Kluyveromyces lactis: one gene and its partners. The main gene of each other region encodes a partner of the protein of the gene in region 7 in a complex. Links are inferred from orthologs where the notes say so. Each region holds a gene or a part of one and is shown on either strand. Other genes may lie near its edges.

Region 1 (4,226 bases), on a different chromosome or scaffold from region 7:
GTGCGTTCAACTGATTGTACTTGTAATAGTTCAAATTCTCCGTAATTGTGATTTGATGGAAATACTTGGACTGGGTATATCTTCCGCCAATATACCAGTCAACAGAGACAATAATGAAATATAATCCGAACCAAAATGCCAATAGCCATTCAAAACAGGCAGTCGTTGATCTATCTTCTAAGCATGCAAAACAAATAGCCCAAACGAAAGCAGCTATTACCCAAAATGCCTTTAGTAAGCCACTGATAGTATACTTGTTCCAAACATGGCCGTGCCATTCATTCCACCTTGTGTCTTTGCCGATATCTTCACTACTTGTAAGAGGATGGACGACAGCGTAGTGTCTGCCCATTGTCATATATTGTGCGACATGACAAATTACACTCAATCCGACAAATGCACAGAATATACCCACCATGGAACTGTGCACCCTAGGATACGTGTTTGTTGAGAAGATAGTGCACATAAGCAAAGCCAATTCACCTATACTTCCTAGTACGAATGAGGCCCATACTAGATTCCGTTCATGTTTGGTAAAAAATGGAGGCATGACATATTTCTTCTGAATTAAAGCTTCGATGTAGTTCGATTCCATTATAGAGCTATCGTTAGATTTTTCTAAGTCATCATGATAAGTATACGGTAACTTGAAAGGCCAATGACCAGATCTTTGAAAATACTCTAGAGCAACCATGATTACGTATCCTAGACCTTGCCATGCCGCACAAGAAATAAACAACGGTTTTAAATTGGTCGCACCAATATGGGATATATAAACCGGGAACTGGTCTGTATGCATGAACCAATAAATGGGATGACCTTGTCCTGCCCAACATGCCAACATCGCAATTAGCATCCCATACCATGGAATGAAAGCTATCCAGGGAAAGATAAACCAGTAGTTACCTGGACGTGGAAACATATTAGTATAGTCTTGCGGTTTACGTTTATACCTGTATCAAATCCAATCCTTATGAGAATGTCTACCAGTGATATTCTTTAAAGGAATGAGCTATGTTGACCTTGTCCCGTCAAATTCGGCTGGTATAATATACTCATTCTTTTCCTTATATATCTAAAACCCGACTTCCACGAATAAAAAACAATATAAACTATATTTGACATATTTATATATATATGCTTTTATATGGCATGGCTTGTGTATGGCACTGCAGTGATGCTGTCACTGATGCCTTAAATTACAACTTGCTATTCACTGAATGTAACTGTCAATCGGCTCGATGATACACTAGCTTGAGACACCCTGCGCGATTTCTGGGCGCTTTGTTGCGATATTTGCTCCAGTAAAAAAAAAAGGTTTTCTTTCGATGCTTTACTAATAGGTTTCGAGGCTTAAGAGCAAGGATGGATAACGTAATGGATGATATCTAATTTTCCACTCCGAGTAGGCAGAGCCTTCTAAGCCATTGATACCCTTGAATAGCAGACGTGACCGGTGTCCTTGAATCAGTACGTATTATGTAGTTTAGTTTATACTTTCAGCTTGGAAATATCGTAAGCCTCATCCGAATCAGCCTAGCGCTTCTTCGTTGATCTGCAGAAAGTTACCTTGGCATTGCAGAGACTTTCTTTATGTCATTTCAAATTTCTTCTTAGAGTTACAAGAGGAAATATGAATTTGACCAAAAAGTCAACAAACCGGTTTGACAGAAAGGATTTGGATTTGGAAGTGTAAATAGTGACGGTTACAGGTAACAGGACGCGGTGTCCGTTGTTATAAATATTACAGTAAACAAGGAAAAGGACGCAATTAGTCTGTGCCAATTAGCTAACACTAGGTTTCCTGTTTTACATCATGGATGCAGTGAATATTGAACAAATAGATCAAGAGATCACGTTAAATTTACAATCAATCGATTCAGACCTCTCGTACTGTTTCAACAAGATAACAAAGGATATAATACCGTACGTGACGCGATATGGACAGACTTGTGAAGATATCACGAATTCTAGTTCGTGGCTGAAAGAAATGTTTCAGCAGAGTGCTAATGTTCAGTTGGTGACGGATCAGGCTGTGGAATCTGCGGGTCAGGTTTTGGAGCCCCGGACTTCCTTATTTCCAGAGGTAGAAAACGAAACTGATGAGTTCCATACAGTCGATCAATACCCTGCTTTATCTCAAACCGGAGTAAGTTCCGCTGGTGCCCCCACCACGAAAACAGGAGGATCGGTAAAACAGGATCAATTTCAAGATCAGGATACCGATGAGTTGACTCAGGATAGTGCAATGGAAAAACAGAGGAAGAAGAGAAAAGTTTCGTTACAAATTCACCAACATTTCAATTCGTCGTCATCTTCTAATTCTTCAATGGAGAATGATATCTCTGCAAACAGTTCCCCAATAAAGACGATCCCCCCGGAAACAGAAACTGGGACAGAAACACATAACAAAATCCAGGGCGAATTGGCCAAGCCGGGAACCGTTATTCATTTTAACAGCAAACGCGATTGAAGCTCTGTCTTAGCCTTCCCCCACTCACTTCTATATCATAGTGTGTGAGGTATACATTGTTACTCAGGGTTCCAGATCCTATGACCTGAACGAACAATCACGTGATATAATACTTTCCTTTTTAGTTTCATGCTTCTATAGCTTCGTTTTCAATCGGATTTCTACATGGTGAATTTGACATTCTGATTATGTGCGATGCAGAGACTAAGTGAGTATTCATATACGATACAAGATACGCCACAAAACTACCATGGGTAACGTGATGAGTGCAAGTTTCGCTACAGAGTGTACACCTTTGAAGGGTAAGTACGATAAATGTTTTAACGACTGGTACAGCGAGAAATTTTTGAAAGGTGAGTCAATTGAAAACGAATGCCAAACCGAATGGTACGAATATATGGAATGTGTCCAAGCTAGCTTGGTGAAACAAGGCATAAAACCAGCTCTAGATGAAGCACGTAAGGAAGCACCATTCGAGAATGACGGAAAACCTGTAGAGCCTTGAATTGCGGACCAAAGAAACGCATACATACCTGCGCCATTCGCTATGATGAATCTAAGTATAAAATAAATTAAAATGGGTTTCATTTGAAACCTCTGTAAATAGAGAATACAATACAATACCTAGCGCGTATTTTTGACCACAGTAGGGTTAACATTACCAGGAGTTTCGACTGAAGTTGTACCACCGCTACGTGATTATACCTTAATCCTTTCTCCACCGTAAGTCAGGGCAACGTTCGTCCTTTGTGATATCTGCTGTGCAACTCTCTTAATTGGGGTAGCCTTCAGAGACACCTACATAATTCTGCATATAATAATTCAAACATATCACCTAAATAACTAAAGCACAAGAAGGTCCAGTATAATGACTGCTGTCATATTCTTGTAGAACTTCGTGCCAGCTCCATCTCACTGTTTCTATCTCCTCATTGCAGTACTAGAATAGAATATTCTGATTACCCTCCCTCCTTTTTTACCCTATTGCCACCAATAGAAAAATTGAAATAAGAACATTTTCGATAAAAGTAAAATTTGATTTCGAAAGATCTGGGAAAATAGGAAACAAATATTGTTAAGTTAGATAGCTTAATACTCCAGAGAAAGAGTTCAAGGATTGAAACGGCGTTTAAGAGTTCCATTTTTGTAACGATACCTATCTCGCGTGCTTTTCTTGTTGCGAGCAGATACTAAAATTGTACTTTTTTTGGAAAGAAATTATACTCAACATTTTCCAATAAAGCATTATAAAAAATTTGCATACTTGCTTAAACTTCTAAGATTAACAACAAGCAATCAGAACTACTTCAAGAGAACTACTACTACTCACGCAATCCAATTACAGATTATTACAATAACGATCGCCTTCCCTCTTTTGCTAGCAATAATTTAGGTTCGCACAGTTTTTATCAATAGAAATAATCCCGGATGTCACAATTTAAGAGAAACGCCAGTTCGAAGAAACTGGACTCTGAGACTAAATATAAGCTTGAGACGCTATCAGAATTGTTCCCAGATTGGACAAATGATGATTTAATTGATTTAGTCCGTGAATATGATGATCTAGAAACCATAGTTGATAAGATAACTACTGGAGCAGTGACAAAATGGGACGAAGTGAAGAAACCATCTAAAAAGGAAAAGCCTGCATCGCATATAGAACACCAATCTCATAGTTCTCATCAACAGCTGCAACAACAAGCCGCATCACACCTGGACCCTGAAGATTCTCCTTCTCTAATAAATCAACATC
Region 2 (4,548 bases), on a different chromosome or scaffold from region 7:
CTATCACCAAGTCTCAAAAATCTATAGATGAAATTGCTCTAGGTAGAGGTAAGAAAATTGTGGATGTCAAGAAGGTATATTACTCTGCTTGATTTCAACCAACTCCATATTTAAATTACTTTCACTTTTTCTCCTATGAAGAAACTATCTGAACAACCTTCACATGATTCAATTACGACCTAGATGATCATTCTCATAAAACAATCAATACTCAGATCTACGTAACCTTGTACATATTAATATCCCCACAACGTCGGAGTTCCAAATTCTTCTTCACGTGACTTTTAGAATATTTCACACTTTTCTGATCTTTAAAAGATTGGAAAATGAAGATGATGAAAGCAGATGAGTAGTATATCTAATCGCGTATAAACATGATTAGAAAAGCTTTAACTTCTTTGCTGTTACTAATTGTTCAAACGCATTTCAATTCTTAGCGGAAGCTACTAGTATCACACAATTAGCAAAGCATATGTTTCGCTTCATTGTGGCTAGGCCATTCACTGTACCAAAGGTAAGGCCGGTAAGACGACTTTATAGCACGGTCAGGACATCGACTGTTGACTGGAAACCTATCAAAACAAAGAAGACACCTACTGAAGGATTTCAAAAGAAGGAATCACGATGGGGTAAGCGTATTTTTCTAGGACTGATGATTGCCATGCCCGTGATCTCGTTCTACTTAGGAACCTGGCAATTAAGAAGATTGAAATGGAAAACCAATCTAATTGCTTCCTGCGAAGACAAATTAACCTACGATCCTATTCCGTTACCTAAAACGTTTACACCGGATATGTGCGAAGACTGGGAATACCGCAAGTGTACTATGACCGGTAGATTCTTGCATGATGAAGAGATTTTTGTCGGCCCCCGTGTTAGAGGAGGGATCAAGGGGTACGTTTTATATACGCCTTTCATCAGAAAGGATACGGGAGAAAGAATTTTGATTGAACGTGGTTGGATCTCGGAGGAGAAAATCGTTCCATCATCTCGTAACTTGCAACATTTGTCTTTACCTCAAGGCGATAACGTGACAATTACAGTGTTAGTGCGTGCAGCTAAAGATTTGACATCAATGCAATGGAAGAAGGAAGACAGGGAGAGTAGATTGTGGCAAGTCTTGGATATTAAGGATATGACAGAGATGACACATACTTCTCCTATTCATTACCAAGCTCTTTACGATCTGAAAGATCACCATTGGGATGAAGAATCAAAATCTGAGGGTATCGATAACAAAAACCAATCATCTTGGAAATTCTGGTCTAAAAAGAAAACCGAAACAGAACCACAACAAGAAGAATCCGAGAAACCACACGTCAACACGAAGAAAGTAAATACAGCAGATTCGGAGACAGGATTGGAATTTAACGAGTTCCAATTCGTTAAAGCGGGAGTGCCTATTGGTAAAGCACCAAAGATTGATTTGAAGAATAATCATTTACAATATTTAATTACTTGGTATGGGTTATCTCTGCTTTCATCTATCTTCCTTATCATTGCACTAAGACGTGGTCGTGGTTCCGCTATGTCACAGGATGAAATAAAGAGGCAAAAGCTAAAACATGCCAAGAAGTTCATGTGATAAAGAAACACATATTGATATTCTCAGGAATTTCTATCTCGATCCCATCATTTCCTTCAATTTTCTAGTATTCGAGATACTCAAATTCCAATAAATTATATTCAAGCAGTTAATTACTAAACACATAGTAGTATCAACCTTGTTTGTACCTGTAAATACTATTATAGCTATTTTGAATGATTTTCATTCCTGTTGATGAATACTAACTAACTATCGTTGAAATACTTGTACATCGAAAATCGAAAACGTAAATAAAGTAAAGCAAAACAAAAACACGAACAGTAAGGTGTCTCCAAGCAGACAGACGGAATGCGATAGTGTCTCTTTGGGCAACCTGGTATCTAATTTGACATCTCATAGACAGTCTGAGGTAAATTCATTACTTGTTTTTTTTTTTTTTGACCTTTCATCTTAAATTCTCAGGGCTACTTGGCACTATTCCAAACTCAACATAAAACTGCTGGATTCATCTGCTCATAAGATATGTCTCAAAGGCCAAATACTCCACAGCGGGACAGGCCAACTGAATATAGACTATCTTTGTCATCTAATGCAAGCTCAAGAAGATCTAGTTTAGGCAACAACGGTCGAGATCAGCATGCGTCAAATCAAACAATGATTGAAAAATACGTGCTCCCACAATTACAGGAACTTTCGGACTCGATGGTAACACTCGATGGTAACATGACGCACATGAATTTCATTCATGAATCGATAGCGGATTTAAATGAGGCTCTAAGCGCTTTATTATACGGATTGATGTGTAACTCTTGGTGTGTTGATTTCCCGAACATATCTCATGATACTCCGCATGAATTGAAATTAATCCAAAGACTAGAAGAGTTGAAACAAGAAAGACAAGCACTACAGGCGAAACTCAAGCCAAAGGAACTTACCAAAGGAAGCATATTACCTCTTTCAAGACAACCTTTATCACGAGGTTCTCAGATGTTGTATCGTGATGAAAATGTGCCAGGTTCTACTGCAAGCTCGAATGTTAACATTGACATTAACGATGACGAAGATAACACAGCCGCTTCGTTTGTATCCAACCCAACTACTTTCAAACCTCAAATGATATCTTCAGTAGGAGCTTCAACTGACTTTATGGGAAAACAAACGGTAGGCTCCGCGTCATCGAAACTCAGAAGAAGATCCATTCTACATCAAATACGAAACAACGCTGCAATAGGCACTATACCTAATACACTAACAGGTATTACTCCTGGAGAAAGAAAAAGATCACTAGCAGTCAGTGCAAAAAGAATTCCTATCTTGGCAGGATCATCGACTACCGCTGGCTCTGCCTCTTCTGCTAATCGTGAATCTACAAATACAGAGCCCGCTCTACCGAATAGAGTTGTAAGAACAAGACAGAGAACCTATAATCCAAAAAACCTTGCAAGCAGGCCTCCTTTCAGGTAACGAGTTATTTGATACTTCTTACCAGAGCTTTTTTCTAGATACATATTCATACCGTGTGTATATCTACCAAACAATGTAATATTACAACGTCAGTTAACAAAATGAAGAAAAAAAAATTACTGAAGGTACTCAGTAAAGATTGAAGTGCTCTATGAGGCTGCTCTTACCGCTTATCAGTGATACATGAACGTTCTCGTTTCAAGTGAAGTCTCGTTCGATTTACTTTTATTCGAGTTGAGCTTATTGAGCAAATAAAGGCCGCCCTCTTCATTTCATTCTGCAAGGAATTCTGTGAAGAAAAATGACCGAAGTTACAGAGAACATAAATCAATGAAAGAGCTAACATAAAGAATGAGATGAGAAGATTTTGAGAAGGTATTGGTTGTACATTTTAAATATAAGAAAGTGGCATATAAGTGTTTAGCCATACATCTTGATCAGTTCCATTCTAGCTGCTGACGGTTACACACCAGAAACATTGATGTTTTTTTGTTGATTTTAACTCTTTGTTCATTCACGTATTGGGAAGCGATTGACGAAGAAAAGAATAACTGCACAGTTGGCTTGGGTTAATCAAAAGAGCCACAACCGACACTATCCAAAAACCCCATCGACAGATATCAATAAAGCCTTTCAACATGAATATGCACGCAGGTGATACTACCACCTCAGCCAGTGCCATGGCCATGAGTACTAGTACTTCCAGTTCTATGTCTGGAATGGACATGGATGGTGGTTCCGAAATGACTGGAATGAACTCTTATCTCACAAGAAAATATATGAACTATCCCGTTGTCTTTGAGAAACTCTATGCTTCTGATCGCGGTGAAGCATTTGGTATCTTCTTGCTTATCGTTGTTGCTGCCTTTGTATACAAATTCTTGTTATTTGTGAGCTGGTACCTAGAATTGAAATGGTTCAAGAAGGCAGGAGTCAATGAGGAAGCTGAGAACGATGAGGCTACAGGTAAGAACGTGTTATATACTATCGAAGATCTGGAATTACAAAGGCAATTCTTGCCAACTAGTTTCGGCAAATTCATGTTCAACGTTTTCGCCCCAGACTGGGTTGATTTCTTCCATGATTTTGTACGGTTATTGATCACTTTTTGTTCTACCATGATAATATATATGTTGATGCTTGTTGCTATGACATTCGTACTTGCATACGTGTTTGCTGTCATACTCGGGTTATCTCTGGCCGAAATCTTCTTTAACAGAATCAAGATCAACATGTTGAAGGCATGGGAATTGAAAAAGGAATGGGAAAGACGTTTCAAGCTTTGCCAATGTGGACCTGGCCCATCTGCCTCTACCGATGATACTAGGTCCTTTGCATCTAGCAAAGCCACTGCTGACGCCGGCTCTACTACACCTCTAAACACGTTTAAATCGTCCGAAAAAGTGCCAAAGAAAGTCGGATGCTGCTGCAATGGTGATGAAGATCCAGAGGAAGAAGCAGAAAGAAAAATTAGAGGCATTGCTACTCAAAGAGAACAGGCGGGAAACATGAACGTAGATTTATTACCTGCTGAAAAT
Region 3 (4,263 bases), on a different chromosome or scaffold from region 7:
AACATGACCCTCATAATTAGGTTCTATCGGTCTTGTGTTTCGTAATGCATTTAACCTTTCTTGAGTCCTTTGTTCCATCTTATGCTCATACTCTCCATTTTTATTATGCAGATTCCCTTTCTCCATAGCATCTGCTAGTCTAACATCTTTCCCAATCAATAGGTCTCCAAAAGCTGCTATTGCAGTAAATACGATTGTTCTCTTGCTATTATTCAATGGACTGAAAGCGTTACGACTTGCTTGTAAGGATTTCTTACTTACAGTAAACATTTGCGGTCGTCGTCTGATGCGTTTAATAGCACACTTTCCCTAATAATAAAAAGCTGTGTCCCGGAGTACAACTCGTCAATTGAGTCAAATCTAGAATCTGTGTAAACCTTGATCCTAATCCACGCCAGCAATTTCAATTACAACCACTTTACAATTTTCAATGATCTTCCTTTATCTCTAGTTAAAGTATATGTGGGTGAGTCGCATCAACTTCAAGAAAAGGTTTAAATTTGAAATATTCAGAAGAATCATCATACGAAAAAGGCAAAAGAATAGTAAAAAGGTTGACAAAGGAAAACGCCCATCTTAGCAAGGCTCTTGCTATCTACACGCTAAGGGAGCTTTGCTACATTAATTCTCAATTGCATAAATCCGAGATGACTACGGAATTATATAATGATGGGGCATATAAAAATGCTCCTACATATGAGGAGAGCTCTTTGTTACAACAGACATGGTTGATTAAAGAAATCATAAAGCCTGAGCTACCTAACGTTATGGACCATGTTGAGAAATGCATAAACCAACTATCTAGTCCTGAGAAATTTCGAATGCCTCTTACCAATGGGAATAGTGTCTCCGTTAACACATCAGGTGCCGCGCCAGACAGCACATCGATTAAAGGGACAATCACTAGACAGGCCGGATTTATAGTGGATTTTCAGGCTATCATTAAGCTTCCAGACTTTAGCAGGGGTAAACCAATAGTTCTAAAGATGGACCTTGATAAACAATTTCCCTTAGTTCAAATAAATGCCATAATTACAAATTTATCATCCGTATTGTCCTTATTTGACGAATTACAGCAACTTTCCGAATTACACGATATGAAACTTGATGATATTCATACTTTTCACAATAAAATTGGGAAAATATTGGAGTTACTTACACAATCTATTACATTATTACAAAATCCTCCACGAGAATTGGTCTTTCCGCATAATAACAACAGCTTCTTAAACGACAACTTCTCTGAATCTCATGACATTTGTGAATCAGCACATCATTTGGTCAATATGGAATTAGTGCTATTCAAAAACGAGATTTGCTTGGACATTAGGAATTTGACAAAAGTCATTAAAAAACCCTGGAGTGAGATCGATTCGAAAACTGGGTTATCATTCAGTGATAAAGTCAGAGACAGGCTGAAGCAAGACAGAAATGGAAAAATCGCAGAGATCCTTAAGGAAGAAGGCTTGCAAGTTGAACAAACATCTATGATAAACAATTTGATATCCAGTTTTTCAGCAACTGAAAGAATCACTCTTCCGCAAGCAAGCGATCTATTGGCTAGGTGTGTGACATTTAACGGGCGAGTTGTCACTGAATGCGAGAAAGTTTCAATTACCACCAGCGATCCTACATTGATTAGTGTCAGTGCAAAGTTGAACGGGCTTGAAAACAAAATCAGCAATCACTTTGTAAATATTCAAAATTTAAGTTAACAATGCGATAGATAGAGAGTCGGCGTATGCTTATTTATCTCTCTTCATGCAATTCCTGTATTCTTTGTATCAGTTCTTCTTTACGATTCTTTAAGTCTTTGAGACGTTCCAATTCTTCATGTGTCGAGGATACTATTACAACTGGATCCGATTTCACATTATCTATGATGGGGTTACTTTCTTGATTGTTGAATCGTAGTTTATTCAATTCGAATGTTTGTGATAGAGTGGCCCGCTCCCTTTCCAATTTGGTTAGAGCTTTTTCCAGTTTACTATATAGTTTTTGTAACAATGGTTCTATATCCTCCATCAAATCAAGTCTGGCCCTCTGCACATCATATTCTGATACCAACTGGAATACCCTCTTAGTTTGTAGCATATTTATAGCAAGTTTAGTGCTTCTATCTGTAGTGACCTTAGATACGGTTAAACATTTCGCCATGTCATCGACACATGCTGCTAAAGCATCTACACCCTCCGAAAGTACCTCTTCCATTGTGTCAAATCAGCTCAAATAACAATGCCAAATTATCACAGTGCGTTATCCAATTACAATCCTGCCGATCTATGTGAAGTGTTGTGTTTTCATGTGTATGTTGCGTAATGTTTGTTTACCTCTTTTCTATGTGGTGAATTAAAATAATTGTGATTGAAATTAAGTCCATTCTTTTCTCAGTTTCATGATTTTAGTATTATCTTCACAGAAGTGGTAAAGCAGCTTCAGCAGTATTTGCTACGAGGCAGTCTCTCCATTGAAGTGAATCAGAAGCCGAATAAGAACTTGCACTTTGCACTACCTTTTTTTGCATATGGTTTAATTGGGTTCTTATAAGCAGTGAATATGACTGAGAAACAAGGAAGTCGATTGGATCCTCTTTCAGCAAACCAGAGTAACGATAACACAAGCACATCAAAAACAAAAGGAAGAAGAGCTCGTTCCAACTCAAGCAGCAACGGTTCTTCGAATGACAACTGTTTGAATTCAAGTAATGACGCTCTTAATAAACTGACTTCCGCTGAAGATGAGAGAACACAGGCCAGAAACAAATACACACATGTTTTGGTTCTAAAATCGTTGAACAACACATTTGAGACTAAATTCTTAGTAGTTCCATTCAAGCCCAGTGGACTAAAATTGGGACGACCTGTCATTGGAGCTTCAAATTCTGGAAGTAACGGAGGACTTTCCGGCAAAGCTGATCCACAGGTGAAAGCTGATAATGGAAATTTTGATTCTAGAGTGCTTTCAAGAAACCATGCATCGTTATCGTGTGATGCTAAAACTGGTAAAATATGTATACGTGATCTGAAATCATCTAATGGTACTTTCGTGAATGGTAGTAGGATCGGTCAAACTGATGTTGAAATCAAAGTGGGGGATGTGATAGATTTAGGGACGGATATAGACACAAAGCTTGAACATCGTAAAATAAGTGCATTAGTGGAGGACATTTCAGTGATACCGTTGATTGGCGAAAACGATAAACTACTAGTATCAAATAAACGAGATTTCAGGAGTACACCTGCAAACAATGGGATTCCAGACCCAATGGTCACGATAACAACTGCTCAAAAAGCTGCGTTCGAAGCCGCCATGTTCGGAGATGTAAATAATCTTGACCTCGAAGATGCTGTATTGGGGTCTGAAACGGAAATATTGAGTGGAATATTTATAAACAATTCTATCGGAACAAGTCCGAATTTGATTAATATCATCAAGACCTTAGTGACAGATCTAACACTTGAAAAGTTGGAATATGAAAAGTTGAAATCGATTGACAATTTCATCGTTAATTATATTACAAAGCTTGAATATCTATCAAAGATGAAAATGGAGCAAGCGGACTCACAACTAGTCAAACTTCAGAAAAGCGTTAAACAGAAGCTTGCGAATCAACAGGCAGAACTAACCACCATCCATAATGAAGAAATACAGGCATTAAAACAAGAAAATAAGAAGCTTAATGACTCCCTAAAGGAAAATAATGACTTGAAAAATACTAAGATCAAACAGCTAAAAAGTGAAGTTGATGAATTACAGACACGTCTTGAGGTCGAAATATTTAAAAATACCCAATTACAACAAGCAAAGTCAAAACCGGTAAAGACGAAAGACGATGGTACTGCACAATTACCAGCTGTATCAACAGGTAGTAAATTACCCAGTACTACAACCAACTTGCTTTTATTAAGTTCTATCTCGGCAGGGGCTTTGGCTGCTGTGTTTAAATATGCAACAAAGTAAAACTAATCATAAATATCATTCTTAAAGTAAAAATTAATCTAAGCATTTCTTGCAGACTACGGGTGATGCGTCTAATCAGTGTAAATGGGTAAATCATCAAGTTGAATTCTCTCTACTGTGGTAATGCCCAAAAGTTTAGCTAATTGATTCACGAATGCAACTGCTACATCATTAACAGAGGTAGAACTATCAGGGACTTGTTCTCTTATGGAAGTGGCTTTTTTTTCTGACAGCCCGCACATGGTAAAACTGTTCATATAAGACAAGTCTGGGTCAACGTTAATACAAATACCATGTGAGGTG
Region 4 (3,870 bases), on a different chromosome or scaffold from region 7:
TAGATCCTTACCGACATTTTTCCGTAAGAATCCTAATAAACTTGGTGGGGTTGATACTGGTATTGCGATATCGTTTCTGCGCTTTATAGTTTTGTTGATTGGTAATGGTGATAGATCTTGAGATCTCGATGTTGCTGTTTCTATAGTCTTTCTATCTGTTGATGTCATTAATTCATTACTAGTTGGTGTTGTTGTTGTTGTTGTTGTCATTTCATCTTCTTCCTCCTCCTCTTCTTCTTCAGCTTCTTCTTCCTCCTCTCCTTCGCCTTCCTCCTCTTCATCCTCGTCATTATAAGAGCTGTATATTGGTCTGATATCGGTTTCAAAGGCCACATCGTCATTTAACATCGTGATGATAGGTTCTTCATTTGCATCGAAATATTCGTCATCTGAAAAGATGGAAGCAGTTGGCGATCTGGGAACCCATTTAGTAGCTAACATCTTACCATCAATATCAAGTTGCTTGGCAATTTTCTCCAAATCAGCTAGCTTTCTATATAAGTCATGATGTTGAGGCTCGTTGGGATTATTAGATAAGATCGAAGTATCATGGCCTGAGGTAGCTTGTTCTACAAATGAACCGTTCCGTTGCCTAGAAAAGGAGTTCATGAATGAAGAAACAGACGAGGACCGTGACACATTCCTCTGTTGCTTTGAAGATGTCGGAGGGCCCTGAATGGGAGATACTATTGCGTTAGGTGTGTAGTTAGAATAGGATAAAGATTGATACTTGCATTCTTCTATTCTTTTCCTTAGGGATGTTAAATTGCGGAAAAATGCTGTGGTATCATTATCAGGAGGAATGACAACGTTATGCGATTCGTGATCTTGCGAAGTAGTTGGGGCGTCTTGTTTGAAACATGACTCGATCATTGAAATCCAAAGTTCCCAATCTTTTTCGTCACGAGCTTTCATGACCCAGATCTCCATGCCTGAGTCAATGATAATAAGTTTAGTTTGCTTATTTGCACTTATTGATGAAAGTGGGACAACAATCTCACCACGACACACAGGAGATTTAGAGTTGAGATAATATGAGAGAATCCCAAATTTTATATCGAGTTTAAAGAACCGTTTGGTAAAACCTTGTAGCTTCTTTCTCTTCTTTTTTAGTAAATATCCTTGGAATCCTTTACTGTTTTTCAAATCGTGATCTGTCGCGGATGTAGAACTTGGACTCAGTGGTTTTATTGGCACTGGAGAATTAGTGTTTGGTCCGTTAGATGTACCCACGTTGGAAATTGTGCTTGGAGTAGTCTGGCCTGGAGATGGCGCAAATGGATTGGAATTCGATTTTGCTAATGAGGACAAAGATGGATCCTTGAATGACGTTTGGCTATAATTCAAAGGTCGCTTGCCATTCGTCCCATTGGCACCAAAGCTTTCCTCTTGGTTTGAAATGACGGATTCCTGATCGTCATCCAAACCTTCCATTGCCGATGCACTAGGGTTGATACTCACCGAAAATAAACATTTTTTCTTAGTCTGCTTCGAAGTAGTATTGTCTAAAATGAACGCGTAATAACAACTCTCACAAGTTGATTCGAACGATTCGGCAACGGTATCGTTGTTAGAAATGGTCCCATACCAGGTCACCTTTTCCAGACCGCTTTGTGCTAACCTTGTTTGCAACGGCACGTTTTTGTCCTTTTCGTGATCTGCCAAGGCAACGTTAGGCTTGGCATCGGTTGAAATTCGAATTAACGGATTAGTATTACTATTCGAAGAAGCTTTTACACTCCCATGGTTTGTTTCACTCAAATCAGTCGTGGATGATCCACCAAACCGTCTGTATATACCAAACCCTATCGATTTTTTCAAAGGTTTCAACCGAAACGAAACTATATCACCTTGAGAAACTTTCTGCCAACGCACAACAAATGATTTATTTTGAACGTCAATAGTATCCATGTTTGATGCCGAAAAAAATTTAATAGTTACAATTGAATCACTCTCGAAACTAAGTAGACGTTCCAATCTACCTTTATCGGTCGGTTATTCGCTGAAAAATCAATTCTGAATAAGAGAGATTAACCAGGGGAAAAGATCAACAAACACCTGATAGGCACGCAGTAAGAATGGTAATTATTCACAGGTGAAATTTAACTGACAATATCCGTTACCAGCAATTATCACCAAATTGATATATGATGCCCGCCAAAAGCTCGAAACGCACACTAGAAGTCTGTTATAGATGAAATTTGGATCCTTGTTTACTTCAAATTAAAGGTTTAGTTTATTATACTCAAGCTTTTTTTTAATTCATTTTCACTGAGAAGCTGCTTTGGGGCAGGTACTAATTTTCATCATTTAAAAAAAAAAAAAAAAAGGTTTATAATAGCATCCAACATGTATTCAAATGCAAAACATCGGTCAAAAATGTAAACCACAAGGAAAACACAGGCACTAGAGGCTACAAAACTGGTGTATAACTATCCGTCATCAGTTATATTTGTGATACATACCATGGAAAACCCGTATGAGAAAGTTCAAAGCAATATTCTGGCTAGAATCATTGGCAATGTCGAAAGGTTGAACCAGAGTGTAGTGATACTAAACCAAGAGCTTCGAAGGGTAAACACCAAGAATAAGAATTTGGAACTGATGTCACAAATGTGTGAGAACTATAGAGAATCTGTTGATTTCCAGTTGCAGGCAACTTCCAAGAAACAGGACCCATTGTAAGGTCTCACATATATTCTAACGAGAAGAATTTATTAAAAAAAAAAAGCAGTTACTTAAGTGATGTAGTATGTACGTATATACATACGCCTTTTTATAGTCGGTTTCAGGACCGTACTGATTCTAATTTACAGATAATAATGGATTAATTTTTTTTGTTCATGTTCAGTGAGTTTTAACCGGTGCAATTTTGTCTGCGGATTGTGTTCCAACTTGTAGGGACCTTAGTTTGGCAAAAGGTTGTATCTCTTCTTCAAAGTAACTCTTTGTCTGGAGTATTTGTCATCTGGAGAGAATCTAGCAGGGTGAGCAGACTTTGTAATTTCATTATCCTCAGTCATCTTCTTCAAAGTATAGATTCTCTTGCCTTGGGCATCCAAAGTGTACATCAAATGCATAGTGGGTAGTGGGTAGAGTGTGATAGATGCTTTTGGTTGGAAGTGAAAAGGAACTAGATATATGGATAACAAGACACTTTCTTTCAAGCGATGAGCTATACCGATCAGTTAGTTAATGCTATGTTGAAAAACTGATTATATCTCTTTGAAAATTTAGCAGATGCACTTGATGGAAAAGAAATATTCCAGTTCGTATCATGTGATCTGATGATATATTCTCTAACGTAAGTAGCGATATGTGTTTTGATTATCTTTTTCTAGTCACGTGTAAAACGAAGGAGGCTGGATCGGTTCCAATGATCGATTGATTGATAAACTTTTGTAATCGGGTGTTCACGTGACCTGTGTGTATTTTATTTGTATTTTATTTGTATTACCCGGCCACTCTCCTATAAAAAAGGGGTCTCATTTCCACACATAGTTAAGGACCCTGCTTACTATGAGTGTTTTTATGACAGGAACTGAAGCTGGAACTGGAACTGGAACTTTCAAAGGAAAAATGAAAAAAGACGAAAACGAAATTTGAAATTGAAATAGAAATAGGAATAGGAATAGGAATAGGAACAGGAACAGACATTGACTATTAAAGCTTTAATTTGATATAGACATAGGGCTTGTCACTGATAAGAATAATATATTTTGGTCCTGTGTTGAAAACAGCGGAAGGTTGTATATCGTGTTGAAAACGAAATTAACAGTAATATAGGAGTTTCGGTTCGTAAGTTCTACGAGAAACTAAAGAGATCAGATAAATTTATACGATGTCCAAAGCATTTCTTCGTAGTGCAAA
Region 5 (3,844 bases), on a different chromosome or scaffold from region 7:
CAGCTCAACATTGTTTCCCATAGGACCTAAAGTGACACTGAGTTAACAATGGAGCAAGGACGAATGTGATATTTCCGCAACATTTCCAGTTGGGTATCCTTATGAAACCTAGTACATCCAAACTCTGAGTCACTAGCATACCCACGTCGAGCTGAAACCACTATCCACGATTGAATACAGACGAGAATATGGAAGCCGTTGCGAGGCGGTTTTGATTAGGTATGTGGTGTACGGATTTGAAGTACCACACCATGGAGTTCAATGCTATGCTTCTATGCGTAGGAGCAAGAGCAACAGGCATCAGAATAACTCCAAAAACGAGAATAATCCCCTCTCATTGAGATATGTCACAGTCTGTTTAACAAGAAGTAAATATCCACACAATATAATTCTAAAGGTATTGTTGTCATAGCATTTCTAAAATCCGTTAGAAATACTACCCAACACCAGGCCTTTAAACAATAATTGGGTGTATGAACTCTTTCAGCAGATCAAACTGCTGATGCATCCTTCTAATGTATAGAAGATGAGAGTATAACTCGATGTGAGAGACGAACATGCGCACACGAAACTCGATGAGAGGAAAATCAAACCCAAGTGTGGCACTGGTCCTTACCACCCCAGAAATTGCATCACACAAATACCGATCGTGATTCCGCACCCATCATATATTCTATAATAGAACCAAAGGCCTATTTAAAGACCAAACATCTGTTTTACTCCTCCAGAACTTGATCTGTTTAAACATCAAATTGCAGATTCTCTTTCTATTGAAGAAAGTTGTTTTTTGCTCAAAAGAGAAAAGTCGCGTCAAGCTGCATTGGACTTAAAGATAGAGAATATAGGATAATAACGTAGGCAGGGGGACCAGCATTACCATTGTGGGTGATAATATTCCATTTGCTCACTTCGACTGACTGATGGAAGATATTCCGTATTATTAAGAGGTTCAGCGTTACATTGTATACTTAAGAAAGAGAGGAATTTTTGAAAAAAAGAATGGTTCCTAGCGGGATCGAACCGCTGATCCCCGCGTTATTAGCACGGTGCCTTAACCAACTGGGCCAAGGAACCAACTTCTTGTTGTTGCCCAGCAAAAAGTAACGCTAAATGCCACAATCCCTTCTGTCAGTATGCACTTGTTTTCCTCGAGGGTGTTAAACATATTGCCCCATTTCCCTTCAATACAAGTATAGCTTCGGATGCAAATCAAGAGATTAGTAGAAGACGCACGAAATTTAAGCAGAAACTGATGAAAAATATGTGGCGTGTTCTTAACTTTCTTTTTATCCTGTACCAAACGGTCTACATATATATACCGTCTATAGAAGCACACTTCTAGAACAAACAACTGATGAAAAATACTTATGATGCGACACGTTGCTGTAGTTCATTGGCTGGTAAGTTTTATCTGCAAAGCTTATCAAGTTCCTCAATTTGTGCCTTTCTTGATATAAAACCAATTCTCTATTTCCCTTCAGGATTGACATCCTCCGTAATATGTTCAGAATCTGCTACTCCTACCGTCTCCATATTCTGTTCTTCAGACTCAAGCCCATTATAGAACAGTTTCCATATCTGTGATACGTTTTCAAATTCCTTCCCGACTGCTATACTATTTTCAAGGGTAATGTTTAACCCATTTAATTGATTCAAAATGGCATCCATGCTTTCGTTGATCTCTTGTAATATCAGACTTCTTTGCTCGATGAAATATTTGTCGCCTGTCGATAGCTGTTGAACCTCTTCTGTCATTGCTGCTTGCTATATGTTGGGCCCTCAGTGTATGCAAATCGGGACTCCTGTTATTTTCCGATGACCCTCGATATACAATGCATATCAGTTTACCTTTTTCGTGTATTTCCATGATCTAAATGTTTTAATAAAACTGTCCGCTTCTCATAAAGATACTAAGTCGTTGATGACAGAAACCTGGTGTATCGCTGAGAACCAACTGGCTCCAAAGCTTAGGTAATTGGAACATTTAGCAGCTCAATTAGACATTAAAATAGGCGAATATCGCGATCTGCGGTATTTGAATCTTCACTGCCAATTTACCTTCAAATATGAAATCAAGATGTTACCGGCAAGGATTATCATTGGCACATATACAGACGTTTGAAAGACATAGCAAATGTAAGAAACCACTAATTTTAAGCGAAATACTGGTAACCTGGATTAGCAAACGATCTTCATCTCACGCCAAGCTATATAATACGACTGACTGCCCTTTCACATCATATTCAGCTTACCCTACCGATGTTCTCTCGGATATAAAATGGAAAAAGTTATTGAATGCTTACTCTTTCACCATATTACATAGTTCTTGAAAGTTTCTTTAGCGTAAAAGGGCAAGTAAAAATCAACCAGTATATTTGGCTGGCCAAGGCATCTTCAACTCTTGGCTAGTCTCTCTAAGCTGGGAGAATAAATCTTATCAGTCTTGAACAATTTAAGTTCTGTTATCCGATCTTCAAAAATTATATCGATATAACCCTATCGTTGTTCAAACAAATACAAACCACAACAATCGACTCGTGTAGCCCGCAACTTTCCACCAGGTAACAATGCTAAAACCTATGACTTTTAGCCTTAGCTGCAAAGCAAAAACCGAATTATACTTACACGGTAGTTACGTACAAGCTTATATATAAATTATGCTGAAGCTGTATTGCACTAACAAGAATATGTCGTTTGGATGTAGTTGTAATTGAGAGTAAAAAAATTTGGTTCTTATTCAAATGATTGGCCTTAGTCGCTGACTTCGTCATCAGCGTATCTGGGCTCAATGTCAAAGATCAATTCATATTTCCGCCATTTTACGCGCAAAGGACTTTCCGCATTGCAGGCCTCGGCGTCATCTTCTTTATCGTATTCATCTAGCCAGTCCCAGTTGGAATTGAATTTGTCTATATTATCTTCCAAAAACTGCGTTAGCTGCTCTCCATGTTGGACCATAGCGGCGTCGTTAGTTAAAAAATTCCAAATATGAACTAGATAGAACTTCAAGGATTTTATACCTCGAAGGAATCCCTGATCCTCTCTGTTTGGGAAATGAGGTGCAATCTTAAAACGATCTAGTGACTTTTCTATATCACGATCAGTGACACACCTAGCGAAATCTATAATGTTTACCTTCACCCGAGATCGTTTGTTCTGAGGGTTGTCGCCATCGTAAAATAAGAGCAAAGATGATCCGTACAATCTGTATGATTTCAGCTTCGCGATTTCACTGTATAAAGTATCTAATTGTTGAATCAAGATAGGAATTTGCTTAACGATACTTCTTTTCGACTCGCCATCGTATAAGAATCTTGCTAACACTCTAGAAAATTGCCAACCGACTCTTACCTTTCTACCGTAATACTTATCCCTTGTAATGTAATAATTATGCTTCTTATCCCAAATCTTTAGCCCACATAATCTCACTCCAAGCTTCCTCGAAGTAGTCTTTTTACATTTTTCACGCTGTGACAGCTGTTTGGATCTCTTGGCATCAACTCCATACTGCCTGGTGCCCATTTTCAAATCAAGAACTGATGGGCACTTAAGCTTTCGAGTTAAGTCTTCGAGTAAGATGAATTTAGAGACAATAGTATGCGAAGTCTCTTCCACGGAAACAGATTCATGGTTGAAGGCACCTTGTTGTTGTTCGGGAGATTTGACATCTGATTCATGAACATCATCGTCCAACTTAAACATAATATCGTCATCTTCCAAGTTGCTAGGATTCACATCTAATACGTTATTTGTCGATACGGCTGCTCGCTTCATAGAATTACGCCGTAAATATTGTTCGTTGCCCAGGCCTCTTGATTTCTTATTAGAAGAAGAGGAAGAAGAT
Region 6 (4,031 bases), on a different chromosome or scaffold from region 7:
GCGAACTTTTTGAAAGACTTCTCACATTTGTTGCTCATAATTTTTTGGATCAAACATCTTCCCAATTCAAACTGGACTTGATTTCTGATTTTGAAATGATAAAATGTTTGGAAAGCTTGTACTCTTTACTACCGCAACAACCAACATCTATTTCACAAGCTTGGAAGACAGTACTATCAGAAAGTTCCTATCAATCGGATTCTGATTTTATCTCAGACGGCATTGTTAAGATTCCAGAATTATTGGGCGCCTTTTTGAAGCATTTGAAAGACCTAATGAAATCCACAAATGAAACTATGTTAAAATCTCAGATCGCAAAGCTTATAAATCAACTAGTTTATCATTCCATATTAGAAGAATGTGAAAACAGCTACAGGTATGGACTTTTCCAGATGAGCCCAGATGATGTATCAAAAAATATCCCTTGGTTCACAACAAATAGCATAATAGAAAATCTTAATGACATCTTCTTCTTGTTAAGGCATGCCTCTGAAGATCTTGCCGTTGTGTCAGAATTTGTAGAGGAATTACTGCTATTGGTTAAGTCTCTATTTTATATGGTCAGGCAAATAACCATGTGGATTGATGCAAATGCCATTACTGATTCTAGTTATAAACAGTTTTTCGAAGAAAATCATTTACTTTGGAATAGGGTCCTTAGGGATGTTAACAGGTCTCAGGATTCAATTCTAATCACAGATTTTTACCAAGACTTTGAAGGCTTAGTTGAAACTTTGCAATCTCTGCCAAAAATTACCGCATTCTCTCTATACGATGAATTCTTCCAGAAATACGGATACGACTTTGCAAAATCCTTATTTTCCTACTATATCAAGGAAGGGCTATGGGATGATCTTTACGAATCGTTTGGTGAAACCCATTCAGAATATTTGGACCAGTTCTTAGGAGAATGTCCCGAGTATGGCAAAGTTAAATGGATTGGAAACATATATTGCCATAAATACGACGAAGCAACTACAACTTTGTTGAGTATTTCTACTGGAACTCAATCGCTGGGTCAAGATTTGAAACAAAGACAGGCACAATTGAGTATTGCCAAATTAACAGCTCTTGCCGCGGAAGTTCAAGATCTTGAAAAGCTAAACGAAATTCAAACCGAATTAGATCTCATCGATGGGCAAATTCTTCTATCCCAAGAACTACAAGAATCAACTCTCAACCCACTATTCAAAGACTTTACCACCTATCGAACTTTGTTCAAATATTTGAGCGATGCTGTGAAGAGGAGAGAATCTCTCTCAGTGCCGCATATGATAGAATTATTCACACTATTAAATCAAGATACTTCTTATGGATTTGCATTGAGTATCCTTGCCATTGATCACACGTTACCCACTGAAGTAAAAAAGTACTGCGAGTACCAGATCTGGAGAAGGTGTCTCTTATCCGATGAAAATGCGGTTAGACAAACTTTAAGGGTCTTTTTCAAGCAGCAGTTCTACCATCAAAGTATCGAACTTCCAATCATCGACAACTTGGCCAATGAGAAATTGATCACTGACTCATACCTGGATGGCATGTACCATGGACTAACCGATCTTAATAAATTAGCTAGCGACGTCAAACGAGAGGTTGCTCTTTTCGCTAATTCGAATTTGGACGTTACGATGTTACAATCCATCATTGGAGAAATCAACGAGGAAACCGGTAACCAATGTGTCATCAATTACGCAACTAACACAATCGAGACAAGTCCCACATCTTTCTAATTCAATAATAGAAGAAGGTGCCACACCAATTAATTGTACATAGTATAAAACCTGTTTATACACCATATGTATATATTCAATAAAAACGTTATTCAACGTCATCTGCAACTTTCACCCGTACCAAAGTTTCCGGAAGCGGAGGTAATTGATCCTGTTGCCGCTGCTGGTTATCTTCTGAACTTTCTGACGCAGCACTTTCATCTTCAGCGCCCTGTTGGTTTCTATGTTCCTCTTTACTGGCCCATTTCCCAGTCTCATAGTCGTTTTCTGTATACTGAAGTAAAGATATCGAAGCCTGAGAGATAGACCGAAGAACCGAGTCCCAATTAGCCATTACGTCTTTAACAGTCACAGCATTGCTATTCATCTGCGCTACCTGAACGCTCAGCTCGTCCAATTGAGCCTTTAATTTCTGTGTCAATGCAGAAACATGCTTCAAATAATTCAATTCTCTTCTCTTAGTCTCGATCTCGGTTTCAAATGCCATACTGACAACTTTTTTTCAGGTGACCCAAACCTCTTACTCTTCAGCTAGAATATATCATCCAACTCGCTCCGAGAAGTGTCTATCTTAGCTGATAATTCTTGGTTCTTCTAGTCTTTGAAAGAATTCACATTGTAGAGATTAGTTCAAAGTCGTGATTTCATATTATTCCGATATTGAAATAAAGGAAGAAAACTCGAGAAAACCGACTTGTATCAGGGGAGATTGATCTATACAAGCTACGCTAAGCATTAACACCGCTATTTAGAATGAACGAAGGGTTGGATAACATCAAATTGCCCATTACATGTCCAACTTACCTCATTTGAATTAAATGTAGTACTAAATATGATCCGGGTAATCTTGTTTTTTTGTGTTTACATCGTAGAACAAAACGTAAACAATGAAAACATTCAAAGCTTTAGATCTCATTCAGCGTTTAAATAACCTGTTCATTGACTGAAAGAAGAGCGATTCCTAAGTCTATAGGGACCCGAATTGACGGCGGATAGTGTTACTAAGTTTTGTGAGAGTGCAACATGAGCGCTTCTTCGCAGTACGATGAATTTCAAGCTATGCTTGAGCAACAAAAGGGAATTTATTTACAGCAGAACAGTCAGCTTGCGAAATATAATTCCAGTCTTATGATGAAAATCACTGATATGGAGACTAAAGTGAGTGAATTGGTGCAAGAGAATGTTTCCTTACGGTCGCGGCTTTCTATGGGTGAATTGCGCTATCGTGAGAAGCTCAATACTGTTTTCCAGACGTTAGAGGACGGAATTGTAGAAAAATTCTTGCAAATGAACCAATTGTTGACCACAGTACGGGAGAGCCAGGGTTTAGAATCAGGTATTCATGATAACCCTCTTAAACCGATTTTGAGAGGCTCGAATGGTATAAGCCCGAGATCTGCGAAGAAAGTGGAGTTTACTGGTGCAAATACCACAACGAAACCAGTTGGGTTTGAGGATCCAATTGCGGAAGATAACCATGAAAATAGCGGGAATAGTCTCGAGCTGAATGATGATGAGGTACGACCTCTGAGAAAGAGGAGGCGTAAGAGTTCACGGAGAGAGTCGTTGTTCATTCCTGCAGATTTCGAGTTTAACGATGAGGACCCGGAACTAGAACTGAATCAACTGCCGATAACTGAGGATGAACCGCCGCCTAGTACTGCAGCCACCTCAGTACCTGAGGAAGAGTCTCAGGAGAACAAGCATACAAAAGAAGAGCGTGAAGACGAGGGAAAAGAGAATGTCTCTACGATACCTTTGGTACCGGTCCTTCCATCTGTTACTAACACAGGCACTGAATGTAGCAATACCAATAAAAATAATACTACAGAAATGGAAACTGCACTTGCCGAAGATGATTCTTACAATTTCACTACATCAGTCATTGAATATTCCATTCCAGAGGAAACTTCAACTCACGAGCATTCACATATCCTACTGGAAACGTCGAAATCGAAAATTGATGTATACAACGACAGAGAAGAGACAAACAACAATGAGGCTGATGACTCAATGAATATCGTCCAGTGCACAATCCCATCACAATCGAAAATTAAACATTCCATGAAACATCCTAGGACGAAACTGAAAGGTGGCCAAGATGATATTATGCCCCACACAGATTACGATAAAGATGATGAAAAACGAGAAAGAAGGACTAGAGGCAAAGCTGTCAACTATAAACTCCCATCACTACGTGCTAAGATGCGTAGACCCACTGAAAAATTGGTGGATGCCACAACTGTCACCGATATTCATGATTTACAAGTGAAACGTAGAAATAACCAACAACAGGGAATA
Region 7 (4,357 bases):
AGTACTATGTTTCTTCCTTTCGGAAATATCCGATTTCTTCTCGTGGTCTTGTAGCTGCTGATAGATGGATTTGGAAAGCAATGGAGAGTGCTCTTCTTCTTTGTTTTCTAAAGGAGTGGTAGCCGCAGTTTCATATGTTTCGTTAGTTTCTCCAGTTTTAGGCGAAAGTTCAGATAATCCATTTATATTTTCTTCATCCTCCGATGAGTATTCTTTATCCATGTTGTACTCTATAATCATATCGATTCTATCCTTAACGTTGTTCAAATGCTTCTCCAAAAACAATTCATGCTGCTCAATTTTAGCCACTCGCTTGAATACTAGTTCACGCATCATTTTTAACTTTTCCAGCTTGATATCTAGCTCTCTTATTTCGCTAGCTGCTAGATTTTTCTGGATTTCAAGTAAATCCAGGTTATCGGTGATTGACCTCGAGGCATCCTTCAAGAAGGATGCGGAGTAAGAATGCAGAAGTTTATCAGCTTTTAAATGGTCTGGCAAACTAAACTCTTCCTCTTGTTCTTCTTCTTCAGCGTAAACTGGGATGGACTCAGAGTCTGTTAAGGGTTTCATATCGCTATTCATTATAAGTTTTTGCTGTAGTTCTATCGTTTCATTAATAACAGGTAAAGATGCTTCAAATCCTTGAAATAACGTCGGTTCTTGCTTTTTTGACTTTGCAGATCTTTTCTCGCCATTTTCTGTTATCATGTTCTTGTTCTGAGGTATAGTGTCTCGTGGGGCGTCTTCAAGTAGATCATCACTCAAGTAACTTAAAACTTTGAATGTTGTTTTTGGATCACTATAAGAGTTTTTAAAGAACTCTTTGCTATTGGAATATATATCTTGGAAACCTGTATTCTTGCCTTTAGATAATTTCACGTCGTGGCGTACTTTAACTAGTGATGATCCCCCACCTGCATTAGTAATTGTCTCATGAAGCAATTTCTTATATGGACTACTGTATGAAAGAATTGTGTCTTCCATCGGCTGCGACGAGAATAGAACAGACGCCGTGGTAGACAGTGCCTTTCCCAGATTGGCAAACTGGTCTCCCGTATTAGAACTCATAGTTCTGGCACCACTAACACTCTTATCGAGGCTTTTGCTCGCAACATATGTTTCTTTAAGATTTGAAGTTGTAATAGGAACTAACAACTCTTTGTTTCCATGTATCTACTTTTTTGTACTCTGAAATTAGAACTTTCATTGCAGCAATAAAATCATATGAAAGAACGAAAACCGTATTCTCTGTAGAAGAGCAAGATGCCGTAGAAATGGAACTACGATATATTTCGTTATCATAAAATTAGAACCTTAATAATACAAAAATGATATATACTGAACTGAAACTTACATGAATATTTCCATTCCAGTGCGAGATTAATTCCCGAAGTGTGAAATATATCTTTCCACTTCATTTCGGCAAGCATATCGGTTTTTCTTGGATATAACTTATTAATGTATCAAATGGATTTTTAGTACCGCTGCTAGATTTCACTTATTTCTCCCTTCCAAAAGGTCCAACTGTTTCTCGAGCTTCTGTATTTCTTTCTCCTCTTTATCGATGAGAGATGATATTGACGTTTTTTCCGGTAACGCTTCGTGTTGGAAGTCTAACTCCTGGATCTCTACTTTCTTCTGAAGTTCATTAATATCAGCTTGTAATCCATTGTATATTTGCATTAGTTTTTCAAATTTCTCCTTGTATTCAGTGAGAGGCCATTGATCTATAATTTCCCGGAACACAGATAATATAATCGAGATTGGGAAATCTTCTACGAAAAGAGTTTTCCTTCTTGATACATCCTCGCCAGTTATCACACTTCCATTCCGCAATGCATGAAGAAATTGCTTGATTTGTTCGTCCTTGCTGAATTTTTTCAATAGCACGTCGTAGATTCCCAGCTCATCGCTGTTACTTCCTTCGAAGATAAAATCTCTTGCAGGTTTCTGTTTCTTTCGGATGACATGATCGTTTTGACTGAGATAAAACCCCTTCGGTATGTAGGTAATAGGTCTTGGATCTGGTAAACATAGTGCTCTGTTCCGTTTCAAAGTTGCTTCCCTCTCCAAGAGATGATCGTATATCCCTACTTTCCCATCCTTACGCTTCATATTTCCATCGTTATCTGTACTGTATAATGACATTTCTTCAATTGAATCGCCATCTCTTATAAGCTTTACTATAAGATCTGAGTACACTTTGCTGTTGCCTGGTACAATCGCATTTCTAAAGATGCCTGGCGGTTTGAAATATAAGGTCGATATTGACTCCGCGGATTTTGATATCTGATCCAGGCAGTAATCTAATGATCCAGACATCCTTTGATGTTGTTAAAAAACACTACACGTACAGATTAGGCACCACCCTCTTTCAGGAAACTGCTATGGAATACAATATTTCATCCAATACTATGTAATTTCTTGAAATACTCCAAATGATTCATTTATCTTTTAACTCGATTATGTTTACATTTTAGTTTTTTTGTTTTCGGTGTTTACGAAATCTTTACGTGAAAAGAGTTGGCATTATGTTAATGGAAAAGGTTGACAGAAGACTTTTAAGGCTCATGCGGCCTTTACATCGGGGTAAGCTAAGCGAGAACTATTGCTTACTTTATTCTATATATGATGATAAATAAACAAGAAAATCAGAATTGGCTATTATTATTCTCTCCATGCGATATAAACCTCATCGGTTCTAAACTTCTGCGTGACAATGGTTTCAGAAAGATCCTTAACAAAGTGGCCTGTTCTGTACTCTAATAGGCCTGCCTGGGCAATCATCACACCATTATCAATACAGAATCTGTCATCAGTTGCGTGTACTTGTCCATTGGACCTGTCTTTACACATTTGGGCCATCATCTCTTGAAGCCTAACGTTGCATCCAACACCACCCACTATTAGCACTTGGTTTGAGTTTACATGGGCCATTGCACGTTCGGTAATCTCCACAAGCATGGCAAATAAATTTTCCTGTAAAGAGTAACATAGGTCTTCTACAGTCACAAGCTGTTCTCCTGTTCTTGAATCAAATAATAATTTATTCTTCAAGTTCTTTTTGAATAGGTCTTTCGCTAAAGTGTCAATATATTGCAAAATACCACTCATTGACAGATCCATTCCCTTAACAGTGTATGGTAATACCACTAATTTTTCTTTATTCTTACACTGTTTAGCCAGTTGTTCAATGTTGTAACCAGGCGATGGTGCATTCGGTATCTTCAAAGTTCTTGCAAATCTGTCTAAACAATTCCCAATGGCGATGTCCAACGTTTCACCAAAGATTCGATATCTTTTCTCGGAGTAAGCAATAACTTGAGTGTTACCTCCACTAACATAGAGCACGACAGGATTTTTAGCTCCTGTGATCTCTCTCCCCATCTCGATATGCCCCACACAGTGGTTAACCCCAACTAATGGTATGTCCCACATCAATGACAAAGTCCTTGCAGCTATAACCACACAATGCAAAGGAGCACCCATTCCAGGTCCTCTAGTGAAACATATCACATCGATCTTTGTGGGATCATCGATCTTGGCCTCCGTTAATGCCTTTCTAATGATTCGTACCACCCAATTCCTATGATGTCTTGCAGTATCTCTTGGTAAAAACCCTTCTCCTGGCGGTGTCACATATGTATCTCTAATATTAGCCAATATTTCAACATCACACTCATACGAAAGGTCACTATCTTCATGTTTTTCTAGCACTGGGTGCTTGATAATACCAACGCCTAACTTGTTGGCAGATCCTTCAAGACCAATTGCCAAATAATAGTTCCTTTTACCTCTTGGTGGAATGCCGTTTAAATTCACCATCTCTTACTGAAAAAAGAATTTTTGACGATAATAGGTATACCTTCAATGAATATCGCACGAACACACGTTGAACTGGTGAGACACACTATATATTCAGGGAGTTGTATTACAGATCAAGATAGTCAACTCATCTCAGTTCAACTTTTCGGTTTTCTCAGATTCCAATTTTTCAAAAAATCATATACACCAATTTTGTGAGTAAAAGATAGCATAGTAAGAGGAGCAACAACAGAAAAAGTGTATCAAACTGCAAGACATAGTCATAGCTGGTCAATCACTCGTTGAGGGGAAAAGATTGTGTACAGAACGTATTTTCAGATTCGATATGAAAAAAGATCTCCGCGACGGGGAATTGAACCCCGATCTCGCACGCGACAAGCGCGAATTCTAACCATTAAACTATCGCGGATTTTGAAATAAAGCACTCACGGTGGGGGTCGAACCCACAATCTTCTGATTAGAAGTCAGACGCGTTGCCATTACGCCACGCGAGCTATTTAATTCGTTGAGTTGCTTGAATTCCCTTTAA

Evidence for each region.
Region 1: SPC34 (region 7) and ASK1 share a complex: the UniProt entries of both Saccharomyces cerevisiae proteins name them as parts of the DASH complex. The link is inferred for Kluyveromyces lactis from reciprocal best matches to the Saccharomyces cerevisiae genes SPC34 and ASK1.
Region 2: the proteins of SPC34 (region 7) and DAM1 are in contact, whole or in part, in a cryo-EM structure (PDB 8Q84), measured with the Saccharomyces cerevisiae proteins. The link is inferred for Kluyveromyces lactis from reciprocal best matches to the Saccharomyces cerevisiae genes SPC34 and DAM1. Residues at the interface, in NP_012963.3 of Saccharomyces cerevisiae: Gly2, Ser4, Leu5, Cys8, Ile9, Asp11, Ile12, Ala15, Ser18, Met19, Leu22, Tyr23, Phe24, Lys25, Pro27, Gly28, Ile29, Phe30, His31, Ile34, Arg45, Ile48, Leu51, Ile52; in NP_011628.4 of Saccharomyces cerevisiae: Gln60, Leu64, Ile67, Arg68, Leu70, Ser71, Ile74, Ile75, Leu77, Asp78, Phe81, Thr82, Leu84, Asn85, His88, Glu89, Ala92, Asp93, Glu96, Gly99, Ser100, Leu102, Tyr103, Met106, Trp110.
Region 3: the proteins of SPC34 (region 7) and SPC19 are in contact, whole or in part, in a cryo-EM structure (PDB 8Q84), measured with the Saccharomyces cerevisiae proteins. The link is inferred for Kluyveromyces lactis from reciprocal best matches to the Saccharomyces cerevisiae genes SPC34 and SPC19. Residues at the interface, in NP_012963.3 of Saccharomyces cerevisiae: Ile52, Glu59, Leu63, Phe64, Lys70, Gln71, Val73, Arg75, Gly81, Val82, Phe83, Tyr115, Lys118, Asp119, Ser158, Thr160, Phe161, Leu181, Phe201, Glu203, Thr207, Ile210, Met214, Trp221, Leu223, Phe226, Leu233, Asn236, Tyr237, Leu240; in NP_010487.3 of Saccharomyces cerevisiae: Arg45, Arg48, Leu49, Val50, Pro51, Tyr53, Asp54, Val55, Arg57, Ser58, Lys59, Asp61, Leu62, Glu65, Val66, Leu69, Val70, Leu73, Lys76, Leu77, Lys79, Ser80, Met81, Arg83, Met84, Gln85, Glu87, Leu88, Leu91, Gln92.
Region 4: SPC34 (region 7) and DAD4 share a complex: the UniProt entries of both Saccharomyces cerevisiae proteins name them as parts of the DASH complex. The link is inferred for Kluyveromyces lactis from reciprocal best matches to the Saccharomyces cerevisiae genes SPC34 and DAD4.
Region 5: SPC34 (region 7) and DAD1 share a complex: the UniProt entries of both Saccharomyces cerevisiae proteins name them as parts of the DASH complex. The link is inferred for Kluyveromyces lactis from reciprocal best matches to the Saccharomyces cerevisiae genes SPC34 and DAD1.
Region 6: the proteins of SPC34 (region 7) and DAD2 are in contact, whole or in part, in a cryo-EM structure (PDB 8Q84), measured with the Saccharomyces cerevisiae proteins. The link is inferred for Kluyveromyces lactis from reciprocal best matches to the Saccharomyces cerevisiae genes SPC34 and DAD2. Residues at the interface, in NP_012963.3 of Saccharomyces cerevisiae: Tyr23, Phe24, Lys25, Pro26, Pro27, Gly28, Ile29, Phe30, Asn32, Ala33, Arg50, Leu51, Ile52, Lys53, Asp54, Cys55, His57, Ala60, Tyr61, Phe64, Val66, Pro68, Gln71, Ser72, Val73, Val82, Val86, Ile87, Asp90, Lys94; in NP_013009.1 of Saccharomyces cerevisiae: Asp57, Ile60, Asn61, Ile63, Ser64, Gln65, Ala66, Ser67, Leu68, Gly69, Leu70, Leu71, Gln72, Tyr73, Glu75, Tyr78, Glu79, Trp83, Leu117, Val118, Pro119, Leu120, Pro121, Thr123, Met124, Val125, Arg126, Ile127, Val129, Gly131.

What each region holds. Positions count from the first base shown.
Region 1 is NC_006039.1:1,071,647-1,075,872, forward strand, and holds ASK1 (Ask1p), read left to right. Parts: upstream 1-1,816; coding exon 1,817-2,473; downstream 2,474-4,226. Other genes in the region: SFK1 (Sfk1p), read right to left, coding at 1-922; MDM35 (Mdm35p), read left to right, coding at 2,724-2,978; DNA damage-responsive RNA polymerase-degradation factor DEF1, read left to right, coding at 3,902-4,226. UniProt on the Saccharomyces cerevisiae protein: Component of the DASH complex that connects microtubules with kinetochores and couples microtubule depolymerisation to chromosome movement; it is involved in retrieving kinetochores to the spindle poles before their re-orientation on the spindle in early mitosis and allows microtubule depolymerization to pull chromosomes apart and resist detachment during anaphase.
Region 2 is NC_006038.1:998,352-1,002,899, reverse strand, and holds DAM1 (Dam1p), read left to right. Parts: upstream 1-2,068; coding exon 2,069-3,010; downstream 3,011-4,548. Other genes in the region: MRPS5 (mitochondrial 37S ribosomal protein uS5m), read left to right, coding at 1-92; cytochrome oxidase assembly protein SHY1, read left to right, coding at 473-1,585; high-affinity Cu transporter CTR1, read left to right, coding at 3,649-4,548. UniProt on the Saccharomyces cerevisiae protein: Component of the DASH complex that connects microtubules with kinetochores and couples microtubule depolymerisation to chromosome movement; it is involved in retrieving kinetochores to the spindle poles before their re-orientation on the spindle in early mitosis and allows microtubule depolymerization to pull chromosomes apart and resist detachment during anaphase.
Region 3 is NC_006040.1:1,584,341-1,588,603, reverse strand, and holds SPC19 (Spc19p), read right to left. Parts: upstream 2,212-4,263; coding exon 1,750-2,211; downstream 1-1,749. Other genes in the region: ubiquinone biosynthesis protein COQ4, read right to left, coding at 1-270; RAV2 (Rav2p), read left to right, coding at 648-1,715; KLLA0_D18799g (uncharacterized protein), read left to right, coding at 2,557-3,960; lipoyl(octanoyl) transferase LIP2, read right to left, coding at 4,032-4,263. UniProt on the Saccharomyces cerevisiae protein: Component of the DASH complex that connects microtubules with kinetochores and couples microtubule depolymerisation to chromosome movement; it is involved in retrieving kinetochores to the spindle poles before their re-orientation on the spindle in early mitosis and allows microtubule depolymerization to pull chromosomes apart and resist detachment during anaphase.
Region 4 is NC_006039.1:1,465,024-1,468,893, reverse strand, and holds DAD4 (Dad4p), read left to right. Parts: upstream 1-2,466; coding exon 2,467-2,685; downstream 2,686-3,870. Other genes in the region: oxysterol-binding protein related protein OSH3, read right to left, coding at 1-1,911; snoRNP complex protein NOP10, read right to left, coding at 2,907-3,080; ENT1 (epsin), read left to right, coding at 3,842-3,870. UniProt on the Saccharomyces cerevisiae protein: Component of the DASH complex that connects microtubules with kinetochores and couples microtubule depolymerisation to chromosome movement; it is involved in retrieving kinetochores to the spindle poles before their re-orientation on the spindle in early mitosis and allows microtubule depolymerization to pull chromosomes apart and resist detachment during anaphase.
Region 5 is NC_006038.1:608,286-612,129, reverse strand, and holds DAD1 (Dad1p), read right to left. Parts: upstream 1,756-3,844; coding exon 1,468-1,755; downstream 1-1,467. Other genes in the region: inositol polyphosphate kinase KCS1, read right to left, coding at 2,752-3,844. UniProt on the Saccharomyces cerevisiae protein: Component of the DASH complex that connects microtubules with kinetochores and couples microtubule depolymerisation to chromosome movement; it is involved in retrieving kinetochores to the spindle poles before their re-orientation on the spindle in early mitosis and allows microtubule depolymerization to pull chromosomes apart and resist detachment during anaphase.
Region 6 is NC_006037.1:700,232-704,262, reverse strand, and holds DAD2 (Dad2p), read right to left. Parts: upstream 2,218-4,031; coding exon 1,819-2,217; downstream 1-1,818. Other genes in the region: NUP133 (Nup133p), read left to right, coding at 1-1,730; SGO1 (Sgo1p), read left to right, coding at 2,754-4,031. UniProt on the Saccharomyces cerevisiae protein: Component of the DASH complex that connects microtubules with kinetochores and couples microtubule depolymerisation to chromosome movement; it is involved in retrieving kinetochores to the spindle poles before their re-orientation on the spindle in early mitosis and allows microtubule depolymerization to pull chromosomes apart and resist detachment during anaphase.
Region 7 is NC_006042.1:1,997,307-2,001,663, forward strand, and holds SPC34 (Spc34p), read right to left. Parts: upstream 2,326-4,357; coding exon 1,498-2,325; downstream 1-1,497. Other genes in the region: KLLA0_F21406g (WD repeat MDV1/CAF4 family protein), read right to left, coding at 1-1,071; KAE1 (tRNA N6-adenosine threonylcarbamoyltransferase), read right to left, coding at 2,671-3,828. UniProt on the Saccharomyces cerevisiae protein: Component of the DASH complex that connects microtubules with kinetochores and couples microtubule depolymerisation to chromosome movement; it is involved in retrieving kinetochores to the spindle poles before their re-orientation on the spindle in early mitosis and allows microtubule depolymerization to pull chromosomes apart and resist detachment during anaphase.